Macaca fascicularis: one gene and its partner. The protein of the gene in region 1 interacts with the protein of each later gene in a biochemical or structural test. Links are inferred from orthologs where the notes say so. Each region holds a gene or a part of one and is shown on either strand. Other genes may lie near its edges. The genes, in order: PIAS3 and MITF.

Region 1 (4,354 bases):
ATAGAGCAGAGACACACAAAAGAACGAGAGACAAGTAGGTACAAGAGGATGGATAGGGAAAAGCGCAGGGCAGAAGAGAAGAAAGTCAGAAAGCAGAGTCCAGGGGTAACCCCCCAGGGATGAGGGAGGAAGACTGGAAGAGATGTACCTGGATGTAAGAATCTGCTGCACTTGCTGGGGTGTGAGGGCAAAGGTAAAGTGCGCTTCCTCAAACCGCTGGCTAGAAGTGGATGCTGAGGATACAAAGGGGCAGTTATTCCAAGCCCATGCACAGGCAGCCACAGAAATCACCCCCATCCCAGGTCACTGATCCCATAGGACTAAAGCCTAAGAAATGTCTGGGGAACAGGTAGGGAGTCCAGAAGACTAAGGGACCACAAAGAGCCATACCAAGGGTGGTGGGCCGGATGAGCTCCCCGTAGACTTCATAGAAGGGCAATGGTTTCATGGTGACATCAGGGTGCACAGGCTGGGCCAGAGAGGGGTGCATGTCCACCTCACGCTTGGGGCCCAGCAGGGTGCCAGGGGCCAAGAGGGTTGGGGGAATGGGAGCTAGAGGACCAGGGGAGCCTACAGGAGAGGTGCCAGGAGGCAAAGAGAGAAGGGAGAGATCAGAGGGCCCCAGGGTCTTCCGGGGAAAGCGTCGTCGGTAAAGCTCTTTGATCTTCATCTGGACGCTAGGGGCACAGCTGGACTTCAGGAGGTGCAGGGCCTTGGCCAGGAGCTCGTGCTTCCGCCCACTCTTGTTCCGGCCAGCAAAGCCAAGAAGCACCTGGAGCTCAGACACCCGGAAACTCATCACCATGTGCTGTGGAGAAGAACAGAGAAGCTTGAGAATCCTCCGTTGCACAGGCCTGCCCTGCCAAGACATGGGCTGAGCTACCAGGTGGGCAGTGCCTTTTTCCCTCCAGCACTGATGGGAAAGATGATGCTTCGCAGCTAGTGGATTACTGCCAGGTAGTCAACCTATCCAAAGGGACATCTCAGTCCCACTTTAGCAACCATCAGGTCAGCATCATCACCACCCCCTGCCCACCCCAAGCTTGAGCAACACTGTCTGTCTCCCCAGGCCTGGAAGTGGCCAGAGTGGGGCAGGGAATGGCAGACAGCAAGCCACCCTCAGACACACCTCCAAGTCTATACAGCCTCCCGCCTCCAACCCTGCCTCTAGTCTGGACTCTCCTTTAAGCTGCTTATCTCCTCTCTTGCCCTTTCTCAGACACTCAAACTCATCCCAGCCTCCTGGGAAGAGGATAGGAGACAGGGAGAAGGAGGGAGAGACAAGAGGATTCAAGCCAGACAGCCCCACGGGGAAGAAAGGGGCCAGGTGGCTGGAGGATTGTGCCCTTCAGCCCACCCCTCCAAACCACCTTAATTCCTCAGCTATTTCCCCCAAGCCTCTGAAGCTTCTGTGGGCCGGGGTTTTCAGGTCAGGGTTCAATGCTCATTACTCCCCCAGATCCTTTCTTGGAATCATTAATATAACCGCCCCCTCCCCACAACTTAGTCCTATTTTTCTGGAAGGGAAACAGGACCAAAACTTAGGTTGAGGAGATTAACAGTGATTCACTGAGTCCAAGTATCCTGCCTGTTTACTCTATCTGCCAGGAACCATTATCTGGCGTCTCTCCTACATAGAGAAAATAATACTCCTGTACAACCTACAGCCCCCCTACACGGGTGGAAGAGGAGCGGGCAGAGCTCTAAACAGAGGCCCTGGGTGGATGAAGGAAAAGCCTCTGAGTCAGGGCACAGAATCGCAAATTTCCTGAAGGTAGCTGGGCCCAGTGGCTAGACCTCCAGACTGCCCAGGACCATAGCTCCATTTCAAAGGGCAGAAGAAAACCAGGAGGCATGGGGATGAACTCGGTGGTTTAAGGTTCTATGAGATGTCCTCAGACGTGGTCACCCTCCAAACTCTGTGTGGCAGAAGGAGGGGAGCGCTCTCCTTAGAGGGAGGACTCCCTTCTGTGAATCTCTAGGAGATCCTGTCATGGGCAGGGCTTGCTAGCCCTACACAATTCTTCTCACAGGAGGCTTTGTCTTGGACCCCTTTTGTGGAATGTGATGAGAAACTTGCTCCTCTTTCTCCCCATCTTTATCTTCTCTGTCCTGTCTTATTTTTTCCATTAGCTTTCCCTATAACTTCCCTCCTTTCTATCTCATAGTTTCACATGCCTCTGCCTCTGCCCAAACATCGCGATTCACTAAGGCAGGACCTTCCTCTGAGCCTCCAGGATGCTTCTGCCCCACCCCTCGAGGTATCAGCCCGCACAGCCCCGCCCCCTGCATCTCAGCCGCCTACTGGTATTTCCCAAAGCTCGGATCCCGAGAGTAGCCCCAAAGACCCTACCCTTTCAGCTGCCTTTCCCCCGGAGCCTCCCCTACATCTGCCCCGCGGTCCCATCCCTGCATCTGCCCCCTACTGTCGCATCTCTTGGCCTCGATCGACTCGCCCCCAGTGCCTCTAGAGCAGCTTTTCCCCCTGGCCCTACCCCAACAACTGCCCCTACTACTAAATCCGACTTCTACCCTTCGTCCCCGCCCCCTGCGCCTCAGCCCCCAACAGCTGCAATTCCCCTCGGCCCCACCCCTACATCTGCCCCGCAGCCCCGCCCCCGGAGCCCCGCCGCAGCCCCTTCCTCGCTCTCAGCCACTTCTTTCCCATCCTCAGCAGCCCGTGCCTGCCACGTCGTCGGCGCCCACCCGAGCCCCGGCACCCAGTCTCGGTCGCTTCCCGGACACGGCGTACCGCCGGAATCAGTCCAGATGGGGATGGGGGAGGGGGCCGGTACCTTTAATTCGCCCAGCTCCGCCATCTTGAGACATCGCAGGCGCCCTAGCCGGAGCCGGAGCTCAGGCCCAGGGACCGGCGCACAACTCTCCACCCCGGCGCCGGCCGCAAATGCCGCCTGCTCCGCCCCGTCCGGCCCCCTATACCTCCCCTTCCCGGCCCCGCCCGCCTGGCTTCGGACTAGCCCCAGCCTGAGCCCCTCCCTCCACAGCGGACCCAGCAGCTACACGTCTGCGGCGGGTTGGCAGGACGCGTAGCCCCGGAGGGAGTTTATGGCCCCCAAGATCGCGGGGTCCCCTAGGGCAACGAAGAGGAGGCGGGTCCGAAGTGCCTGGTGGAGGGGGGCTTTGCCACGGCAGAGTTGGGAGGGGACAAGCTTTTAGAGAGCCAAAGATACTTGAAAGATGGAGGGAAAGTATCGGGAACTGCTAGAGCTCAGAGAAATGGGGGAGGGGGTAGCGAAGTTGGAGCGCAAACCCTCATCTCCATCTCTACATAAGTTTAAGCAACTAAAATCGAGAGGTCTTCCAACTCGGGAAATGGGCGAGCGCTGATCCGTCTTAGGGAAGCCGTGGAGTCGGCATTCAGTTCAAGACAGCTATACTCAATTCACCCTCTCCTCCTCCCCCCCAACACCAACTACAATGCAGCTCGTGGTCCGATCGTAGGACTCAAACTCAGCAGCAAAAAAAGTTTGGTGCGGGGAGCGGGACTTACCAGCACAGTTGTGGGAAATGGAGAGAGGGTTCGGGAGGCTCAGAGGGCGGGCTGGAGAGGTGGGGGCATGGGGCTCGGCGCCGCTCCTGCTGTCCGCACGGCAGAAGTTCGGTCCAGCGGCCGGACGCGGCGGCCGCGGCTCCGCCCGGGCCGGAGCTCCGCCCGGCCTAGCGCTCGGGCTGGGGCCGCCCCCTCCACGGGAAGCCCGCCAGGACCGCCGAGAGTGAAGGGGGGCGGAGCTCGGGCGAGAGAGGGAGGGACTCAGAGCCTGGCGCTGGAGCGATTAACTCCTGGTGTGAGTGGATCTGGAGAGATGAGATCCTTGGATCCCATCATTCTCACTACCTCTGTGACCCCTCACGCTTATGTGTGGGATTGGGGTGGTGGCACGCTGCTGCTAAGGCCGTGTGAACCAGGTGTCTGACCGTATAAAGCAGTCTTCCTTGAAATGACAACTGTCTCTCCCTAGGGCAAAGCCTGGGCTACTGAATCCAAAGTGTACCTAACAGTAACTACTCCAGATACCCCTGCACAGTACCTCCACCAGAGCCCCTATACCTTTGGTGTAGCTGAAGATGAATTGAGGGGTTTTCTTGCCAACAAAAGGAATCTTTCTGTCCCTCTCTGAACTACCTACTCACTCTCCTTCCTCCAAAGCCTTGGACCCTCCAGAGGCCCCATCCCAACCAAGCTGATCACTCACATGCAGGCCCCAGATTAAATCTGTTTCTGTTTCCATGGAAATACCTATTTATTTATTTATGTTTGAGACGGAGTCTTACTCTGTCACCCAGGCTGGGGTGCAGTGGCGCAACTTGGCTCACTCTAACCTCCGCCTCCCGG
Region 2 (4,454 bases), on another chromosome or scaffold:
GATCTGACTTGATGTTTAACACAGGGTTGCTTGACCTCAGCACTATTAACAATTTGGGACCTGATAATCCTTTGTTGTGGGGGCTGTCCTGTGCACTGTAAGATGTTTAGCAGCATCCCTGGCCTCCACCTACTAGAGATGGATAATGATCCCTTCCATTGTAACAATCACAAATGTCTCCAGACACTGTCAAATGACCCCTGGGGGCAAAATCACCTCCAATTGAGAACCAGTTTTAACAGGAACATTGTGGCTACTGTACTGAAAATTCACTAAATGTGGACATTGCAGTTTAAAAGACTACTGCAATAATCCAGGCAAGGGCTGATGGTGGCTTGGACCAAAGTAGTAGCAAAGGAGTTGGTAGCGGGCAGATTCTGGACATATTTTCAACTCTAACTACTCTGGACAATCCAGAGAAGACAGTTGATAGGCAGAACGGCTACAGCAGTCTTAACATACCAATTTCAACTTTTTCCAACAAAGACTTATAAGAAGTGAGGTGCCCCAGCAAAGACATAAGACAAAAAGCAATGAGAGAGAAGGCCCTGAACAATGTGTAGCCCTTTTAAGTCACACAACAGATGTCGACGACAATACCTTAGACAACTGTGGAAAACAGTATAGAGAAATGTTGCCAACTCCATATATTTATTCACAGATTTTATTTAACTGGTTTATTTCAAAGAGCATGTGTGTGCTCCATATACAAGTTTTACAACAACTTTTTTAATTTAGCCTTCCTTTCCCTGCTGGTTCAGGCCCACACCTGTTTCTAGCATTAACGTGTGAAGCCATTTCTTCCCACATACCCACATTTTTCCTTACACGTCCCTGCTAGCTAGCTACTGAGGACGTTCACCCTTACAAGTCTTTTTTGCTGACTCTGAAAAAGAACAGGCCCAAATCGTCCAACATGAGTTTCACGGCACTCATTTGGGTTTTTCCAGATGGTATTTTCCTCGCTCTCTCAAACTGATTTAATGTTATGTATCAGCTACCATCAGAAATGTTCCAAACAGTCCGGTTAATTTATTTCTTTCAGGATTCCACACACACACTCATTCCCTCATTCTGGCCGTGTAAGCATTTGCTTATAGAAGCAAAAGCAGAGACTGCCCAGTAAAACACTGGTCCCTTCAGCCGAATGCAGATAAAGCCCTGATGAGCATAACCAACAATACCCTTCACACAATATTACTCAAAACCCCCAGCCCCCAACACACACAATCTATGCTCACACACAAAACAGCCATTATGAGGAAAAACCACCAACTAAAGGCTGGTTTTATACGTCGAACTGCTTAGGCGGTTTCCTTCCAATCTGCCATGAAGCATCTACAAAGAGGCTTCTCCAGCAATGGCAGTCAGTAGGTCCGCTGTTCCCAGATTTTCTTCCCCAACTGGGATAAAGAGTCCTGCCACAGCCCTGAAGGAAATAAACCTGGTTGCACTTTCCACTAGAAAAAGAATCAGCCCAGTGCTCGCCAGAGGCCAAGATTACACCACCTGGCTCCTCATTCAGTTGCCCTGCTCCACTCACCCTCATTTCAGGACCCTCTCCCACTCTGCCGGCCAGGCCCATTCACCCAGGCTCCACCCACAGCGAAGGGCAGGGCAGCAAGGTACAGCCGGGTGCAGAAGTCCTGCTGGATCCTTCCAATGATAGCCTTATCCCAGCTCACAGCTTAGAGGGGTGTAAATAAACCCTTCTCTGCTATTCCAGCCTCCACTGACCATGTCCCTTTTAGTAACCACCGTAAATGAGAAGTACGAGGTGTCCAGAGTGCCAGCCGGACAGACAGAACGGAAGACACCCAATTCATTTCGACAGACAAGTGGGAATGGAGGCAGCAAAAAGGGTGGCTCAAAGGAAGTGGGCACTAGAGGGGATGGGGTATCACAGCAGTGGATGTCTTCACTCCTCTCCTGAAAAGTTTTTGAAGTCCCCAGCGAATTAAACACGTGTCTCTGCCAAGCGGGGTACACTCCCAGTAACCCCCAAGACCAAGGCTCATTTCCCCTCTGCAGTGAAGGCCTGGATTTGAATGGGATTTCCAGGGAGTTTAACTTAGACTAGGGGACACGCCCACCGCTGCCCTGGCCCCTCCCGCGCCCGCTTGCAGCGGTCTGGAGGTGAGAGGCGAAGCCCAGAGAAACCTCACCTGCAGGATCCCAGGGACTAATTTCCCCACAGGGACCGGGCTCCCAAGAGGTGACTCCAAGCTAACTAATTGCTTCCCTCCAATGTCGCATCCTAACCCACCCAAAGCTTCCCTCTCCGAGCCCTCAACCCGCTGGGATCTTCAGAAAGGGGGTTCACTAGAACTTTCTCCCCCATCCCACCGGGACAGCGTCCCGGCCCGGCGCTCCTCCTCCCCCACATCGCGCCAGATCGTTCCCCAGCCCCCACTCAGTCTCAGCAGCTGGCATCCCCAGCCGAGGGTCCCCGCGCCTGGACGCTTCGTCTCCGACGACCCACAGCGCCCTCCGAAGTGCGCTCCATCCGAGCCTCCTAAAGGCGCACTTGGGCCGAGCGGGCGCGGCCCCCAACTGCGGGGGGCAGTTCGCCCTCTGCCCCGGGGCAAGGGCACTGGGTCCTTGTCCCAGAGCTCCCGCGATCCGCTCTCCTCGCCCCAGAGTGGCAGACGCAGTGGCCCCCAGCCGCCTGCTGCGCCTCTGTCCAGCTGTCACCACTCACCTGCTCTTCAGCGGTTGACTTTTGAGTTCGTAATAGGTTTTGGGCTCTTCATGAAACTCCTCCCCGACTTCGAAATCCGGCACGATCCCCGATTCCGACTGCATGGCTCCTGCTTCCCGTCCTTCCACTACTGGAAAGTGAGAATAGAGCCCGGGGGCGGACGGAAGGTAGCTGGGCCTGGGTCCCTCGAGCCGTGCGCCCCCGCGCAGCGCCGAGCTCTGCCCGCTCGCCGGCTCGCGGCCGCCCGCCCCAGCGCGGGGAGTTTACACTCCTACCCGGGCGGGAGGGGCCGGCGGCCGAGCGCCGCCTGGGATCTGTAGTTCGGCCCTGGTGGGGCATTCCCAGCTCGCCTGTGGAGCATCTACCACTAAAACTACAGCTCCCAGAAGGCTAAGCGGGGGGAGCGGCAACGTGGTGGACACCGCTAGTGCAACTCCTGTTTGGATTCATTGTCAATGTCAGCAGCTCCTCTCCCTCCTCTCTCCCCACTTGCTTCAAGGGTACAGAATTGGCTACTTAATATGAATAAGAACGGACACAGACTGCTCTTCTACCGTCACTCCCACCTCTCAGCTCAGACATCTGCGAGGGCACGCCGAGTGCTTATTTTAAAAATAAGATAGTCAAGGGTTTTGGCACGAGAAAGTTTTAGCATTCGAGCCTGTCTTAAAATAAAAGGACTTCCTATCAGCCCGCATGCTTCCCTGGGCTGCTGCGACACATCAACTTGTCCTCGGATTGGAACAACGAGGAAGAACTTTCCTTCGCTTTGTAATGAAAACGTTATTGGAGAAATTGTTCTTGTGCGTTCCTTTTCTAAAGTCTGGACTTTTACAATACTATTCATCAGTTGAATGGCTCTTTCCCCTTTATCCAAGTAGCCACTTCTAATCTAAAGCAGCAACTGAAAGATTCGGTTAATTTAAAAAGGCACAAAGTTACAGACAGCGTCGTTGCTCTCTGCTTTTAATTACTCAGTTGACTGGGAGTTCAAATGAGGTTTTTCCTAGCATTTCAGCACTGAAGATGTACAAGTGTCGACTCCTTCCCGAGCTTCCCGGAATTCACTTCGGGAAGAGAATTTTAAAACTCTCTGTTGTGGCTCATTTGTACTTCTAGTTCCTTTCCTCTGATTAGCTCCAGTAGGACGTGTTCCTTCTTTTTAAAAGTGTTTTGAGGCATCAGGGAGGCAGTATAGAGTTACAGTGGCATTTAAAGGTATAAGACTCAGAGTTGAAATCCCCAGCCCTTCTAAGAAGAGCTGTGCAATCCTGAGAATGTCACTTGGTTCCTAGAAGCCTCCATTTCTTCATCCATAAAAGAAGAGATTGGCAAACCAGTTTTAGAAGATGTTGCAAGGTCAAATGTAAGAGAAAGTGATTTGCAATCTATAAAAACCCTTCTCAGTGGTCATTCTTTAATAGGTCTTGAAGTTTTTCCTTTCAGATTAACATCTCATCTTGGTGTTTGGCCTTTTAGAATTAATAAACAAAATGACTGTCCTAGGAGAAAACTCTAAAGAGGCTACAGTGACAACTGGGCACCTTCCAGGAGTTACCCCTTTGCATGTCTTGCCTCCCACTGAAACATTTTAATTTCACATCAGAAAAGATCTCCAGTAAGATGGATCGATGTTAGGGCTGGAGTTCTCAAAGAGATTTGGAAAAAGTGCAGAAGGCACACTAGGTTGCAGTAGCAATTACCAATTTTTCAGAATAACAATTGATCCCCAACATACGACTTTTAGGCCCTT

What was found.
Region 2: the proteins of PIAS3 (region 1) and MITF form a complex in vitro, tested with the Homo sapiens proteins (2 studies listed by BioGRID). The link is inferred for Macaca fascicularis from reciprocal best matches to the Homo sapiens genes PIAS3 and MITF.

Annotation. Positions count from the first base shown.
Region 1 is NC_088375.1:113,555,604-113,559,957, reverse strand, and holds the start of PIAS3 (E3 SUMO-protein ligase PIAS3), read right to left. Parts: upstream 2,911-4,354; 5' UTR 2,820-2,910; coding exon 2,796-2,819; intron 809-2,795; coding exon 391-808; intron 234-390; coding exon 149-233; intron 1-148. UniProt on the Homo sapiens protein: Functions as an E3-type small ubiquitin-like modifier (SUMO) ligase, stabilizing the interaction between UBE2I and the substrate, and as a SUMO-tethering factor.
Region 2 is NC_088376.1:132,817,805-132,822,258, reverse strand, and holds the start of MITF (microphthalmia-associated transcription factor), read right to left. Parts: upstream 2,944-4,454; 5' UTR 2,806-2,943; coding exon 2,702-2,805; intron 1-2,701. UniProt on the Homo sapiens protein: Transcription factor that acts as a master regulator of melanocyte survival and differentiation as well as melanosome biogenesis.